Tribolium castaneum: one gene and its partners. The main gene of each other region encodes a partner of the protein of the gene in region 3 in a complex. Links are inferred from orthologs where the notes say so. Each region holds a gene or a part of one and is shown on either strand. Other genes may lie near its edges. The genes, in order: gry, trafficking protein particle complex subunit 12 and brun.

The links.
Region 1: brun (region 3) and gry share a complex: the UniProt entries of both Homo sapiens proteins name them as parts of the multisubunit TRAPP (transport protein particle) complex. The link is inferred for Tribolium castaneum from reciprocal best matches to the Homo sapiens genes TRAPPC9 and TRAPPC11.
Region 2: brun (region 3) and trafficking protein particle complex subunit 12 share a complex: the UniProt entries of both Homo sapiens proteins name them as parts of the multisubunit TRAPP (transport protein particle) complex. The link is inferred for Tribolium castaneum from reciprocal best matches to the Homo sapiens genes TRAPPC9 and TRAPPC12.

What each region holds. Positions count from the first base shown.
Region 1 is NC_087395.1:23,286,725-23,291,224, reverse strand, and holds the start of gry (trafficking protein particle complex subunit 11), read right to left. Parts: upstream 2,938-4,500; 5' UTR 2,799-2,937; coding exon 2,416-2,798; intron 2,371-2,415; coding exon 2,005-2,370; intron 1,954-2,004; coding exon 1,723-1,953; intron 1,682-1,722; coding exon 1,540-1,681; intron 1-1,539. UniProt on the Homo sapiens protein: Involved in endoplasmic reticulum to Golgi apparatus trafficking at a very early stage.
Region 2 is NC_087396.1:17,553,911-17,558,477, reverse strand, and holds the start of trafficking protein particle complex subunit 12, read left to right. Parts: upstream 1-1,428; 5' UTR 1,429-1,566; coding exon 1,567-1,866; intron 1,867-1,912; coding exon 1,913-2,089; intron 2,090-2,138; coding exon 2,139-2,477; intron 2,478-2,523; coding exon 2,524-2,858; intron 2,859-2,903; coding exon 2,904-3,135; intron 3,136-4,567. Other genes in the region: Dlc90F (dynein light chain Tctex-type), read left to right, coding at 1-167. UniProt on the Homo sapiens protein: Component of the TRAPP complex, which is involved in endoplasmic reticulum to Golgi apparatus trafficking at a very early stage.
Region 3 is NC_087399.1:3,381,655-3,386,134, reverse strand, and holds the start of brun (protein brunelleschi), read right to left. Parts: upstream 2,878-4,480; 5' UTR 2,726-2,877; intron 2,681-2,725; 5' UTR 2,649-2,680; coding exon 1,535-2,648; intron 1,489-1,534; coding exon 992-1,488; intron 949-991; coding exon 708-948; intron 662-707; coding exon 1-661. Other genes in the region: ATP-dependent DNA helicase PIF1, read right to left, coding at 3,386-3,910, 3,988-4,480. UniProt on the Homo sapiens protein: Functions as an activator of NF-kappa-B through increased phosphorylation of the IKK complex. May function in neuronal cells differentiation. May play a role in vesicular transport from endoplasmic reticulum to Golgi.

The DNA of each region.
Region 1 (4,500 bases), on a different chromosome or scaffold from region 3:
TACTTATGGCCCCATTTCAGAAATTAAATGAATTATTTTAATTACTTCACATGTGTGGTGAAAAAATTTTCGGAATATTATCTTTTATTCCCTGCTTTTTGACGAACGTCATTGTGTTATTTGATACCGTACAACTAGAATTTATTAACTTTTATTCATTTTCTTCAAATCTGATAAGTTTTTTAAGCAATATTTTTTTGTACAAGTAGAACTTACCACTCGTATTTGTACCAAAAAACTGTTATCTTCCATTTTATGAAAAGAAAAATGTAGGTTCCAATTTAAAAAATAGCCCAAAATACACTATAATATTTAGAAAAAATGTAAAAGTATTAGATCATACTACATTAGAAGCCACTTCATTATTTTTAATTTTTGAAATCGGAACTATAAATAAAAATTCTACAGCCGATTTTTTAGTCACCCTGTATTAAACAAAAATTAATATAACGAGCAGTGCGAGGTTTTTCGCTTCAAACCTGTCTCATTTATACAAGGTGATTCTGCTAAAAGTACAATATTACTCAAATGTCAAAAACTAATATGTAATTAATTAATCAGTTATCACATAAAAATTAGCATTTTTATTATTATTTTATTATTACTTTTATTAAATACGTATTTTACCTTTTTTCTCTGTGCATATGAATTTTTTCAAATATTTTCTAGAATTCCTTACTATAAATTTCAATAAATTAAAAATATTAGTATTGAAAATATTAAAATATTCACTAATCGAGATTTCATAATTCCACATACTACCTACAAAAAATATATTTTATATAATTTTTAATTTTTATTTAAATATTTTTTGGCGTAGCGATACTTAAGCATTAGTTATTTTTTATGGCATTGGAAATAATATACGGAATAATAATTTCTTACAGCGACAATATTAGATAATTTATTAATCAATTAGTTAATCTTAATTACGAACAAACAACTGTAGAAAAATTCTGAAAAAATCACATGTAGTTATAGATACATTGAGAATAAGTTATTTTATTAAATGATAGAAACAAGACTAAAGTATTTATACCAATCGCTGAATTTCGTGCGATGATTAGTTTTTGAGATACACTTTTATTAGACTCACCTTGTAGATTTTTTAATGCTTATTACAACGGTGTTTTGCAATAGTTCATTTAATTTCGCTGTTTGTAATTTGAAAAATTATTTTTAGTCATAGTGTTTTGTACAGTAATAAGGATAATTTTATATTAATCGCCGTTTAAAAAAAGTTAAAAATTCTAATATAAAAAACTTTAAACGCATTTTTCTCGAGATCAACAGACCTGACGCTAAAAAAATTAAAAACCGCCTGAAATCTCTGTGGTTAGAATCTGCTTTTAATTTTCTATCGAAAAACTAGAACCCGGAGAAAATCGGATTATAATTTCGGCTACAGGATCTTTTTTTTTTATTTTTAAAATAAAAAAATTGCTACTCAAATCTCTAACAGTCTTAGGAGAAATGCGTTTGTAGTCAGTAATTTCGAAAAAATTGTCCGAAGACTTAAAAAAATTTTTTTTTCCTTACGGAACACAACTCCTGGCACGACTTTTTCCGGAGAATGGCGTACTGCGCAGCTTGCTGGTAGTAAATCCCCGGATGTTGGGTCTGGACAGCCGGTAATCCCAACTTCACGGCTTCATCAAAAATATCACCAAAAACGGAAAACCTAAACAAATAATGATTTCCCCACCAAATTAAACCACTCACTGTTTCGACAGCCAGGCGTAGTGTTCAAAACTCAATTCGTGAAAACCCATTCGATTTTTAAAGCGATCAATGTGGGCTTTAAACTGCGAAATGGCATCACGTGGTAAATTCAACGCAAACATCAACTTGCACAACTTGTAATTAATGAAACCAGCCACGGTCCTGATCTCTAACGCGTTCGTGTCCACCACCCGAATTTCCAATAAATAATTATACGCATGAGTGTAATGTCTACAAATTAATTAATTGAAAGAAAGTTGCAAAAGGACGTAAATGAAGTACTTGTGAGCCGTATGAACGTCCTGTTTGAGTTCATACAGAAACCCCATCTTGAACTGATGTCTCACGAATAAATACTGATGCGAACTCTTGTTCAAGTGTTCTTTATGCGACCTGATGGTTTTAATTTCATTGTGGTAATAACTCTGGGCGAACTCGTAGAAAGCGAAAGCGCTCTCCAGTCGCACAGCATACCCCTGGAGATGGTCCCCGTGGGGCAAAACAAACAATGAACTGGCGTTCAATTCGCAACTAGCGCATAAACTAACAGCGCGGTCAGAGGCCAGGACGTCCTCTCCAGGAGGCAAAGGAAGAGTGTTCTGGATCAGGACCACAGCTATGCGCGTGTTGCGCCCCTCCAGCGCTGCCCTTTTGGAAAAATGTAAATTTTACCCCCCAACAGAAAAAACGCACCTCAAGGACTGCACTCGAGAGGCGCATTCGATCATCTTCTCGTTCCACAAACTGTCATTCCAGTCCAAGTCGTAGAAAATCACAATCACTGCCGGGATCTCGTACAGGTGTTTGTTCATCCAGTTGCGCTTCAGAATCCCCTTTGGAATGTACCAGTCGTAGGAGTTGCGTTTTGGCTTAATTACGGGGAATTCGTGGGCATTGCTGATTAGTTTAAAGAAGACTGGGGACCGGTCAGCCCGCCTGTTATTGCTAAACGTCTCCCAGATTGATTTGTGGACCGCATTGTTGAGGGTGTCTAGTCCAGACACTCCTACCAGAGCCAGAGGCTTGGCGCACAATTCTGGCGGAAGATCGGAAGTGTTTTGGATGTAGGACTGCATTCTAAGTTATTTAGTTCACAATGTCTGCATACTTGAGTGAAAAAATCAAAAATTCGTATTTTTTGGCCGAACTGACATAACCACAAACGTCATGTTGTTGTGACGTTTCTCGCAAGGTGCTTCTGGATTTGTGTGAAGACAGCTCCCCAAACCAGCTCCTCGAATTCCGAAGAAACCCGACATGAAGCCAGTTTCACACTAGCAAAATACGTTTCAATTTGCGTAGATGTATGTTTGGTTGTCAGCGTTGAAACCGTTTAATAAAATAAAATCCGAAAAACACTAAACACCCTCTTAAAAATGACATTTTAAGAAAGTCACTGTGCTAATAGCGAAAAACTCAATTATTTACCACAAATTGCTTCTTAATTTTTCCCACTTTTTCACCTAATTTCAATAATTATAGCTCCGCAAATGCACTATTGCAGTTTTCGCCCATTTCACCGACCTAATCGGTTTTTCTCACATGCCCTTTTGACCACCAATTCAACAATAAAAAAGACGTTTTTCAAAAATAAAATTATGGCCTTTTAGTTGTCGGAACAATGTTAAAAAAATTTATCTTGTCCAGCTCCGCAAATGCACTATTGCAGTTTTCGCCACATTTCACCCCGAAATCGGTTTTGTCACACAATGCCCTTTTGACCACCAATTCAACAATAAAAAAGACGTTTTATTTAGAGTTTAGTTTAATCCCAAATAACTCGAGAACGGTACAGTTTTGACGACATGAAGCAAGAGTACCTTTTTTATTAAAAAATAATTGGGCTTTTGATTTTTGACATCAAAAATACGTGTTTATAGGCCGAAAAATTGAGTTATCACCTAAAAACTGGAAGGGCCCTCTTGTCACCGGAAATGTATAGCTTTTACAAGATTTCCATTTACACATATCAAAGGGCGTCTTTGTGTCTCTTGGCATGCAAAATTTCATAATAATCGCATGAACGGTAACAAAAATATTTTCAAAAAACCATTTTTCCATACCAATTTTTGAAAAATTGTAATTTTTCTTAATTGTAGAGGGGTATTCGTGGTTAAAATTATGCCACACATTTTTGAATCACCCGATATTATCAAGTTATTATCTAACCAAGTTTCAGTGAATGTGTGTAGAGAACAAAAGAATTATCTAGATTTATCTACAGGCTGCTCACAAACTGGCGCACCAACGCAGTGGTACGTTGTTGAGAAGCACGTGTAGATCACGGGAAAAATGTTAAAAAAATTCCTAAAGTCATATTTTAAAAATCTTGAGCTACAAACTTATTGTGTTAACTTCTTTAGTTATCATTATTTTTTTATATTTCTATGTTTCATACCAGGTAATCGTCCGTAACAAAACGATGAATAATTATTTTTAAATTTACTATCAGATTTTAGCAGTTTTTTTAATTAAAAAAAAATTAAAATTCATCCAAAAAATCACAATGTGTAGATGTGCCAACACTGGGAATTATTTCCTAGGAAACCGTTTCAAAAATAATTTATTTTTATTGTTGATCAAATTCTATTGCGATCATGACTGTTAGACAACGTTGCCACATATCATTTATCTAAAATTAGTTATTTATCAATAACTTTAATTCAAAGGATTTTTTTACTATTTTTACCTTTATATGTAACCAGTTCTCTACCACACACCAATGAGTTGGTGCGCCAGTTTTTGAGCACGCTGTATACTGACTGTTTAAATTTAAAG
Region 2 (4,567 bases), on a different chromosome or scaffold from region 3:
AACCATACAAGTACATCGTGACCTGTACCATAATGCAGAAGAACGGGGCCGGTTTGCACACCGCTAGTTCGTGCTATTGGGATAATAACACGGATGGGAGCTGCACCGTGCGTTGGGAGAACAAGACCATGTTCTGCATTGTATCAGTATATGGATTAGCTATTTAAATATTTCAACAAGTAATTACAGTCATGGATTTGCCTTTCAAGAATAATTTATCGTATTTATAAGTTTCTACTTGATAGTGATTGTTACGTATTAATAAAGTCATTTTTTTATTTGGATTTTGTCATATTATTTACATTTGAAACTACAGTTGTTAGCTGTTTCAAAAATATAAAAACGCCAACGTCGCATTCTCTCTCAAAATTAGCTGTTATATTATTCATGCATTTCAAAAAAATAACAGCTTTGTTCGCGGTAGCGATCCTGAACTAGTTCCAGCTCTAGTACGCTGAATCCCGGATCGGTTCAGAATTAGTCCCAACGATCCTGGGACTCGACGAAGGATTTTTAGTTCTAGACGTGCGCAGTTGAAAGCGGTTTTGTCTCTGTTACTCTCATGTCTTTGAATATTTTTGAGATTGGAATCAATATAAATAAACTGTCTGTTTTGATTACCGGAATTTAGTTAATACTTTACTAAATCGTAATTATTTGTATATAAAATAATGTTTGTAAATTTGAAAATGGGTTGTTTTCTACAATTTATACCTTTTCGTTTTAGGTTTTTCGAATAACTCATTTCTAACTTTGTTCAAATTTTTGTAGCTTGTTAGTTTTTAAACATTTGTTGTGTACTTGACAACGATAAATTATCGTTTGCGGTTGACTAAAATCCATAACTGGTTCAGAACCGCACATGCGCTGTAAATAAATCCTGGACTACTTCAGAATTAGTTCTAAAAATCCTCCGCGAACAAAGCTAATAAATAGCTAATACAATTTCTTCTTTCAATGAGAGATCTTAGCATTCATAACTATTTTACAGTTTTATCAGTCTTATGTAAAAAGATAATTCGGTAAAATGTGACGTTGCTTTTTAATTAAGCTGTATAAAAATGTAAAATAGTTATTAAAGATTAGATCCCTCATTGAAACTACGGACTGTTTATAAAAGAGTGTTGGCTCTCAGGTGGTTCTGTAATTTAAATTTGCCGCATTTAATTATTTTATTACTATCAAATTTCTGAAAAGTACCAGTAAAACTAACATTGTTCGTTTTTTCTTGAACAAAACGGCAAACTTCTGAAACCTACTACGATCCTACATTCATTTATAGACAGATTGTATAAATTACATTAGCTATTAATTTTTTGAAGGGCATGAATAATTTAGAACAGTTAATTTCGAGGGAAAATGCGACGTTGGTGTTAATAATAGAAATAGAAATTCGCGCCATAAACCCATTTCAAGTTTTTCTACGATTGGCTACAGTGGATGTCAATGTCACTAATAAAAAAGTCACTCGCAAATGTCAATAAACGAACGTAAACAGACTTTCGTCGTATTTATTTATTATAAGTTCGTGTAAAGATCGAGGTATTTAGTGAATAATTGCTAGACATGTCGGAAAGCGTGCCCCCGTCCTTGAGTCAATACTTCGGCGAAAAAACCGACGATAAAGTAAAGACAATAGACCTATCCGAAGAACTAAATGAAGCTTCCACAAAAATAACCGATCTTAAACTAGATGACAATCTCCCAAGTGCTAAGAAAAACGAACCAGAAGTGTGTCGAATATTCGCCGAAACGCCACCACAAGCCAAAGATCAGACGACGTCATTCTTCGATTTAATTGGAAACAACCACAGCGTTACCTCCAACGGCTTGATATCAAACCTCGACATAACGCCAAACAACGACGTGAGTGACCTAATTGTGTGTTCCACAGTTTGGTAAATTTTTCTAGGACGGTTTTTGCCCCAGAGTGGCACTAGGCTCGGAAGCAGACCGCAGGAGAGATGCCTGGATACCTAGCGAGAGGACCAGACAATGTCTCATTGCGTGCGCCACGGCAGCCCCCGGTACGTATTTTCCAGACAGGGAGCTCCTCACCATGCCTGGGGTCCTGCTAGAAGAGGATTTGGTATGTTTGCTAAATAGTCAAAGGGGGAAAATTAAACTTATTTAAAAAGGGGGACAATATCGGGGAAGCAGTCACCTTGTGTCTTGGGGAGGCCGAAGCCGCGCAACGAAGTATCTTGTCCGAAAGCGACGTAACGCAGGACGAAAGGGGACTGAGAGAGTTAGTACAAGCGGGTTCATACCGAGCCGCAATTAATTTAACTGCGAGACTTTTAACCATTTACGGCCAGGGTCGGGGCCGCGCGGGCCATCCTAGCAAACATTCGCCCCATTCGTTACAGCTGTGGTTCACTCGTATCGCCCTTCTAGTCAAAATCAAAGCCTTTGCAGTTGCTCAATCGGAAGCTGCCCCTTTTGGTCAGCTCGACAAGCCGGACGTTTTCTACCAGGTCTCTAGCCACAAATCACCTTCGACCACTTACCGCAATTTTACAGTTTTACCCCGAGATGTATGGGGGCCGTCCAGGCTCCATCGCTTCATTTTCATTTCGTTTACTCTTAAGCGAACTGCCAATGCATTGCGGTAAACCCAAAGACTCGTTAACAAAGCTGTACAGTATGAAGTCCACGATAAAACAAATGTTGGATAACTTGAAACAGGGCTTGAGCGAGGACGGCAGCCCTATCGAAATTAGTGAGTCGGATCGCACCGATTCGATTCGACTTTGGACGGGGCGCGAGACTCGAGTCATGCACTCTATTGTTAATTGTGCCCTGGCCTTGAAAGATTATGAATTGGCAATGGTGATGATGGAAGAGTTGTGTCACAGGTGAAAAATAGGCGAGGGAAGAAAGTTTCTAATGGTGGGTTTAAGGGATGGGACGGCACGTCATATGTTGTATTCGGCGTTAGGAAGGTTGAGACTGCAAGTGGGCGACGTGGCAGGGGCGGAGACTTGTTTTGATGAAGCAAGGGCTTTGAGGGGTAACACGACGGATTTGAGGGAGTATGTGGATCGGGGGTTGCTCGCTGTGGCGCAGAATTCGTTTGATGAGGCCTATGTCTGCTTCCAGCAAGCCAGTCTCCTGGACCCCACAAATGTTATGGTAAAGTTTTTTTTTTGGTCCCTACGTATTAGCGCCAATGGTGTATGTAGATTCACAAAAACAATTCCATGTTATTCCAATTCGTTCCAATTATTTTCAAAAATGTACACCTAATAAAAAAGTATTACTAAGAAAAAAGAAGCGGCCGAATTTCGAGTGGCATTCGAAAAAGTTAGCAATAGACCTGTTATATTTTCAATAGTGAGTTATCTTTAGAGTCAAATAACTCTGAATTTACCTAAACTTAATGCTCGACTTAATATTAGTTAAATAATGACGGTTCTTTGAATTACTACCTTAGGTCTGAGTTACAAAAATTCTAAGTTAACTTAACAGAGGTTATTTCGAAGTTGTTTTTTTTTTGGCTTTAATCTGAAGTTTCTTTTTAACTCGAAATTAACTCGACATTGTCCTACTTTACCTAAGATTCTAATAAACTATGTTACTTAACAAAAAATCATTGAACGTATATTAATAATGTGATAATTATTGTTGAATAAAATTTTTCGAAATTTCTTTTGTTTTCGAGTGATGCAAAATTTTATTTATTTATTTTTTTAATGGTTAAGTTCAGAGTAAAACCTTCGCAAAACACTGGTTTGAAAACATTATTGGATTAAAAGTAATTTTTAATCTTTAACCAAAAAAATCGTCCTACCTTTAAAAACAAATAAATACGGTTTCGCATAACTAGAAAACTAAAAGGAAAATTTTATTCTTTAAAAATTATCCACAATTTTAACAGATTTGGTAGGTGATGATCATATTCTAAATTCTATTTTTTTCCATAAAGTAAATAGTTATAGAAAGTCGATTCAAGCTTTTTTGTCATTTGAAACTTTTCGCCGTATTAGAGGAAATATTGTAGAACGAGTTTTTAGCTGAAAATAGCGTAACTTTCGACCATGGAAGGCCCTTTCGACATGATATTGTAATTTTTTTTTGGGCGTGTTATTAACTTCTTTTAGGGAATTTATGCGAAATAAGTGAGTTTTTTTTTGGCTGAAAAAAGTACTAAAACCCTCGAAAAATTACATTATTATTTATTATTATTTATTATTTCTTCTGTTGTGCAAAATTTAATTTTTACACTTTTGGTTTATAAGTGTGCTCAAGCATTTGGGAACAGCAAAAATAATAATAATTTTATTAAAAGTACTAAGATTTCAAAAAAATGTAGGTGGTGATATGGTTATGCACTAGTGTATTTTTGTTAATATCTTCATGTTAATAATACCCACATTATTTGGTTTTGATAACTTAGATTATTATTTATTTTATCAATAAAAACGAAAACAAAAAACAAAACTTGCTGTGTGAATTTTAACATCAACCGCCTCTGTACACCAGTGTAGTCAGTAGGATTCATTAAAAAATTAAAATTTCCAAAGGCTAGTTTCGCCACATTTTGTGCTTTTCTCATTTAGCATTT
Region 3 (4,480 bases):
CTGCTGAATTCATTTCCTGTGCCTCCCGGGACGAGAAAACTCCCAGCGGCGTACAAATACAACGTCAGACTAGCCGAACAATTCGGTTTTAGGGGCAATTGACTTAGGAGGTTCTCCTGCGACCAAGTGAACATCTGTTCTTGGAGGGCCGGTTCCAGGACCGTCTGCATCGAAACTTCGAGCATCTCCACGTCAACATGCCCGATATTTGTGATGGTGACTGTGCATTCGGCGCTTTCGCCGTGGTGGAGACTCACACTGGCTGAGGTTACGACGTTTTCGTAGTCGTGGAATGAGGAGAAGGAGGCGCTTTGAGGGAGCGATGTTTTCACCTCGAGTAAGGGAAGGGATGGGACGATTTCGACCTCGTAATGGGGTGGAAACCCGTTCATGTGTCTCAACCGACAGTTGGATTTGACGCCAAGGGTGTGCGTGCTGTAGCCTTGGAGTTGGAGCTGGCCTTCGCTTTCGCGCGGCGTGCCATGGAGGGTCGTAACAGATGGGGGAGCCCCCGACGGTGATAAAACCACAGTTTCGGGGAGTGACTCAAACACGACACCTGATGTCAACAAACGCATGTCCGAAACCTTCAACTCGAAGGGCAGGGGGTTGGACAGCTTGAGGGTGACTTCGCAAGGCTCGTTCTCCACCCACAAAAATGCTACAATTTTTTTTAATCAAGCAATCGTGTGTATCAAATTCCCTACCCATTTTAGTTTGACTCGCTGTGCTCCTCCGATCCAAACTCCCAAAATGAATTGGAGTGAACAAAAACGGCCCCGTGTCCTGCTTTACAGCCTGTATTTTCCGCGGCTGTAAATGGGGCTGCAAGTTCCTCAAAACAAAAGAATGGCAAAGTGGAATATTGGTCAAGTTGGCCGGTGGTATAACAACGCCACTGTCCAACACCAAGGGCACCGGTGACCCTTCACATTGCGCCGATAAGGCCTAAAATAATCTTGATTATGTTATTCCCCTAAAAAAAACGTACTTGTAACTGTATCGCCAGTTCTTTCTGCTCAGTCGGCGTCAAATGCTGCCACATTGTTTGCAACAAAAACGTCATGTGGCGAGTCGCCAACGCCGAATGCCCCATTCTTTTCGCCGCCACCACCAGTTCTTGTAACAATTGAATTTGTAGAATTGGCCACCCTTGTTCAACCTCCCTCATTTCGGCCGGATCTAAAGATAGGCGATGGCCGGGAAGGCTGTGGAGCATGAGGTTATAGCAGCGGTTCCAATTGGGGGCGGGATTTTGGGGCGAGACGTATCTGGTGGCGGCGAGCCGTTGGCAGAAGGCGGCTTTACGCGTGAAACCAATTTGCGTATAAAGTTCGGCCAAGGTCTCAAAACGCTGGATTTTTTCCTGCTCTGAGAGCGTTAAATTGATGTAGACCACGTTTTGTAGAAACGAGGCGGCTTGAAGTGAGTGGTTTTGCTCAACAGCGATGCGGGCGGCCTTAAAACTCGCCTCAGTCTCGACTATCCCTAAATGAAACTTGGCAAGGTATGCAACCAACTATACACAACTCACCCGCATTTTGATACTTGCTGTAGTGAATAATCGCCTCCCGATACCTCTTCGAGATATCCTCGGGGGCTAGTGTGTTGGGCACGGAGGCTTTCTTCGCCCCCACGTCAAGATTACTCGCGACTACTGTTTTTTTCGGCGAGGAACCCTCTTGCAAACTGGCGTTACGTTGCAATTGCACACTTCGCTGCATCTCGGGGTACAAAACTAGAGCAGAAGCGGCACACAAACCCTCATAGGCGGCCCCCAGCCACAACCAATCGTTGACACTCTTCAACGTCTCGGCTGCATTGCCGTAATAAACCAGGCTTTCGGCCAGCAGCCCCGCTTGCAGACACAAATCGCCCAAGTGTTTGGTCATCCGGCCTGTGCATTTTTTCTTGTTGTTGCGCGACTCCATGTCGAGCCCCACGAAGTCCTTTTTCTCAAAGGGGGCGAGCAGGAGGGAGACCCGTTCGAGCTTTTCGCGCGAGCGTTCGAGTCGTTTGGACTCAAGCACCCAAAACAGCGAATTGATGAATTCGATTATTTGGGTTTCGAGGTCAGCACACGGGGCGCTCTCGTCGTAGAAGAGCCCCCGTGTCTTGAAGTTGCTAGGCGTTGTGAACTTCTCGATGTTCTCCTCGGGGGCGCTGCTGCTGCTGTCGGTGTTGGGGCTCGAGGTGTCTTCCGGCGAGCTGCTCGCCTCCTTCGTGGGGCCGAACAAAATGCAGCGCGAATCGAATAACGTGCCGGTGTATTTGACTTTGAGACTCTCGTGGACGCGGCATATTTCATTGAGCTCTTGCTGGGAGTCGTATTTTCCCAGAGAGACGAGACCTAAGAGTCGTCGGTGGGTTTGGAAGTCGCCCCAATCGTTGTTTTCAACGGGGTGTTCCTTCACATAACGGACTAGAATCGTGCGGACGTTTCCCGTCGAGTCGGTGATGCGGACTGAGGTGAGTTTGGCGATACGGTCGTGGAATTTTTGGAATGTTTTGGGCTTTAGTTGGGAGCCTATGTGTCGTACGAGCACCAGGAGAGCAGCGTGGTCATGGGAGTATTGTTCGTAGTCGGGGTGAGACATGTTTGGCTCGCTGGTACTACTCGAAAGGATGTAACTTACCGAAGAACGCATTTGTGAGGCCTGGGGATCACCTACATTTCAAACTTCGCCCCCCGAATAAAACGCACTCTTTGGCCGTAAATAATTACCTGATCATTGCTTTACGCCTCTGAGGGGCCTGTTCTTGCGCAAATCACTCTTTTTACACTTAAACTACGTTTAGGGTCAGCAATTTGACACTTCACGACATCAACATAACCTATGAGAGTAAGAGATAGTTTTATGCAGCCAAGTTCACACCAGGAAAATTATCAAAATAATCGTAAAAACATCAATAAGCTGTTACGCTGATTTGCATATCACATTGGTAGAACATCTCCTGACCATTCAAATGTGTTTCTATTACAAATTAAAACATGACTGTATTTAATTTCTGCATTTTTTATTCTCATGTTCAAGCAATGCAAACTGATTTTTTTCACCCCCTTTATATCCTGCAATTTTCTTTGTTTTTGCAGGAGATTAAGCCCTCCGATAGGGCCTTCGACTGTAAAAAAATCATGTTCGGACACCCGAACCCCTTGGGACCTTAATGAATTTTTAAAGATTCTTTAAGATTTCCCGATTTCGCAAACTGTATTTTTTTAACTGTAGCTGAAAGCGTAAAAAACGCCTAGATTGTGGTTAATTAACAAGGCAAGGGTCGGGTCAGGTCAGGCCAATAAAAACCGTTTCATAATACTTTATTAATCGAATACTCACTTTTAAACTTAATCTAAATGTAAAATATATCATTCTCCATACGCGACTTAATTAATAGTAACTAAAGGTTTGCTCATCAATTTCGCATTAGGTTTGTAGGATTTTTTAACCGCTGCCTTGTCCTCTCTCCTCCCCAAGGGAATAAGTCTCATGGCCTCCATCTGCAAGTTCAACGACCGATAAAAATCCAAAACATTTTTATTGGCCCAGACTTGCGAGGCCTTAAACCCTAAAACCCTCAGCGTGTCTAAACTTTGGGCCCTACTTAACGCAACATAAGCTTGACCGGCTTCAAACACCTTTCCTAGCGACATTTCAACACAATCTAACGTCAAACCTTGGGACTTGTGAATGGAAAAAGCCCACGCTAGTTTAAGGGGCACCTGTTTCCTCGTGAGCATAACACCGGTGGCGCTTTTGACGCACCAGCGCTCAGGCTTTGCGACATATTCTTTGCTACGGAATTGCACAACGGGAACACCTTCTTGGAAGGATTTGACGACTCCACGAGCGCCGTTCACGAGCCCCGTGGCGATGTTTATGTTTTTCAAAAGCATCACCTGCGCACCGACCTGCAAAAAAACAAACTTTGAATATTAAAAAACTGTGTTAATTATTTCCAAAAAAATCGTGAATAATGGATAAAAACCTTCAATTCGAGCGTGTGCGGGATGGAGGTTTGCTGATCCAACTGCTTGATAAGATGCGGGTGTGAGTCTTCGGACGTAAAGACGAGTTTTTCGCCCGGCAGTGCGTTAAGTTTCGCTTCGTTAATCGCGTTCGCTTCCAGCGTGTGCGAGCACAACCTCGTGGCCAAAATCCCGTTCTTTTCGATATTCTGTCGCGACGTTTCGGCCAATCTCGTCGCCATATCTTCAGGAATTTGTCCAATGCGCACACAATTCAAGATTTTGATAAACTCGTCGTCGTTTTGCCGGTGGACTTTTTTCAGTTCATACGCCGACAATCGGCACCGACTCCAGGCCTCCGTCTCGAAACAGAACTTGACTGGAGTTTTGCCTTTGGCCACCGGAGGCAATTGGAAAAAATCCCCGCACAAAATCAACTGAATCCCGCCGAAAGGCTGCTCATTCCGCCTGACTTTCCGGGCTATTGCCTCGATTTTCTCGAAATACGACCCG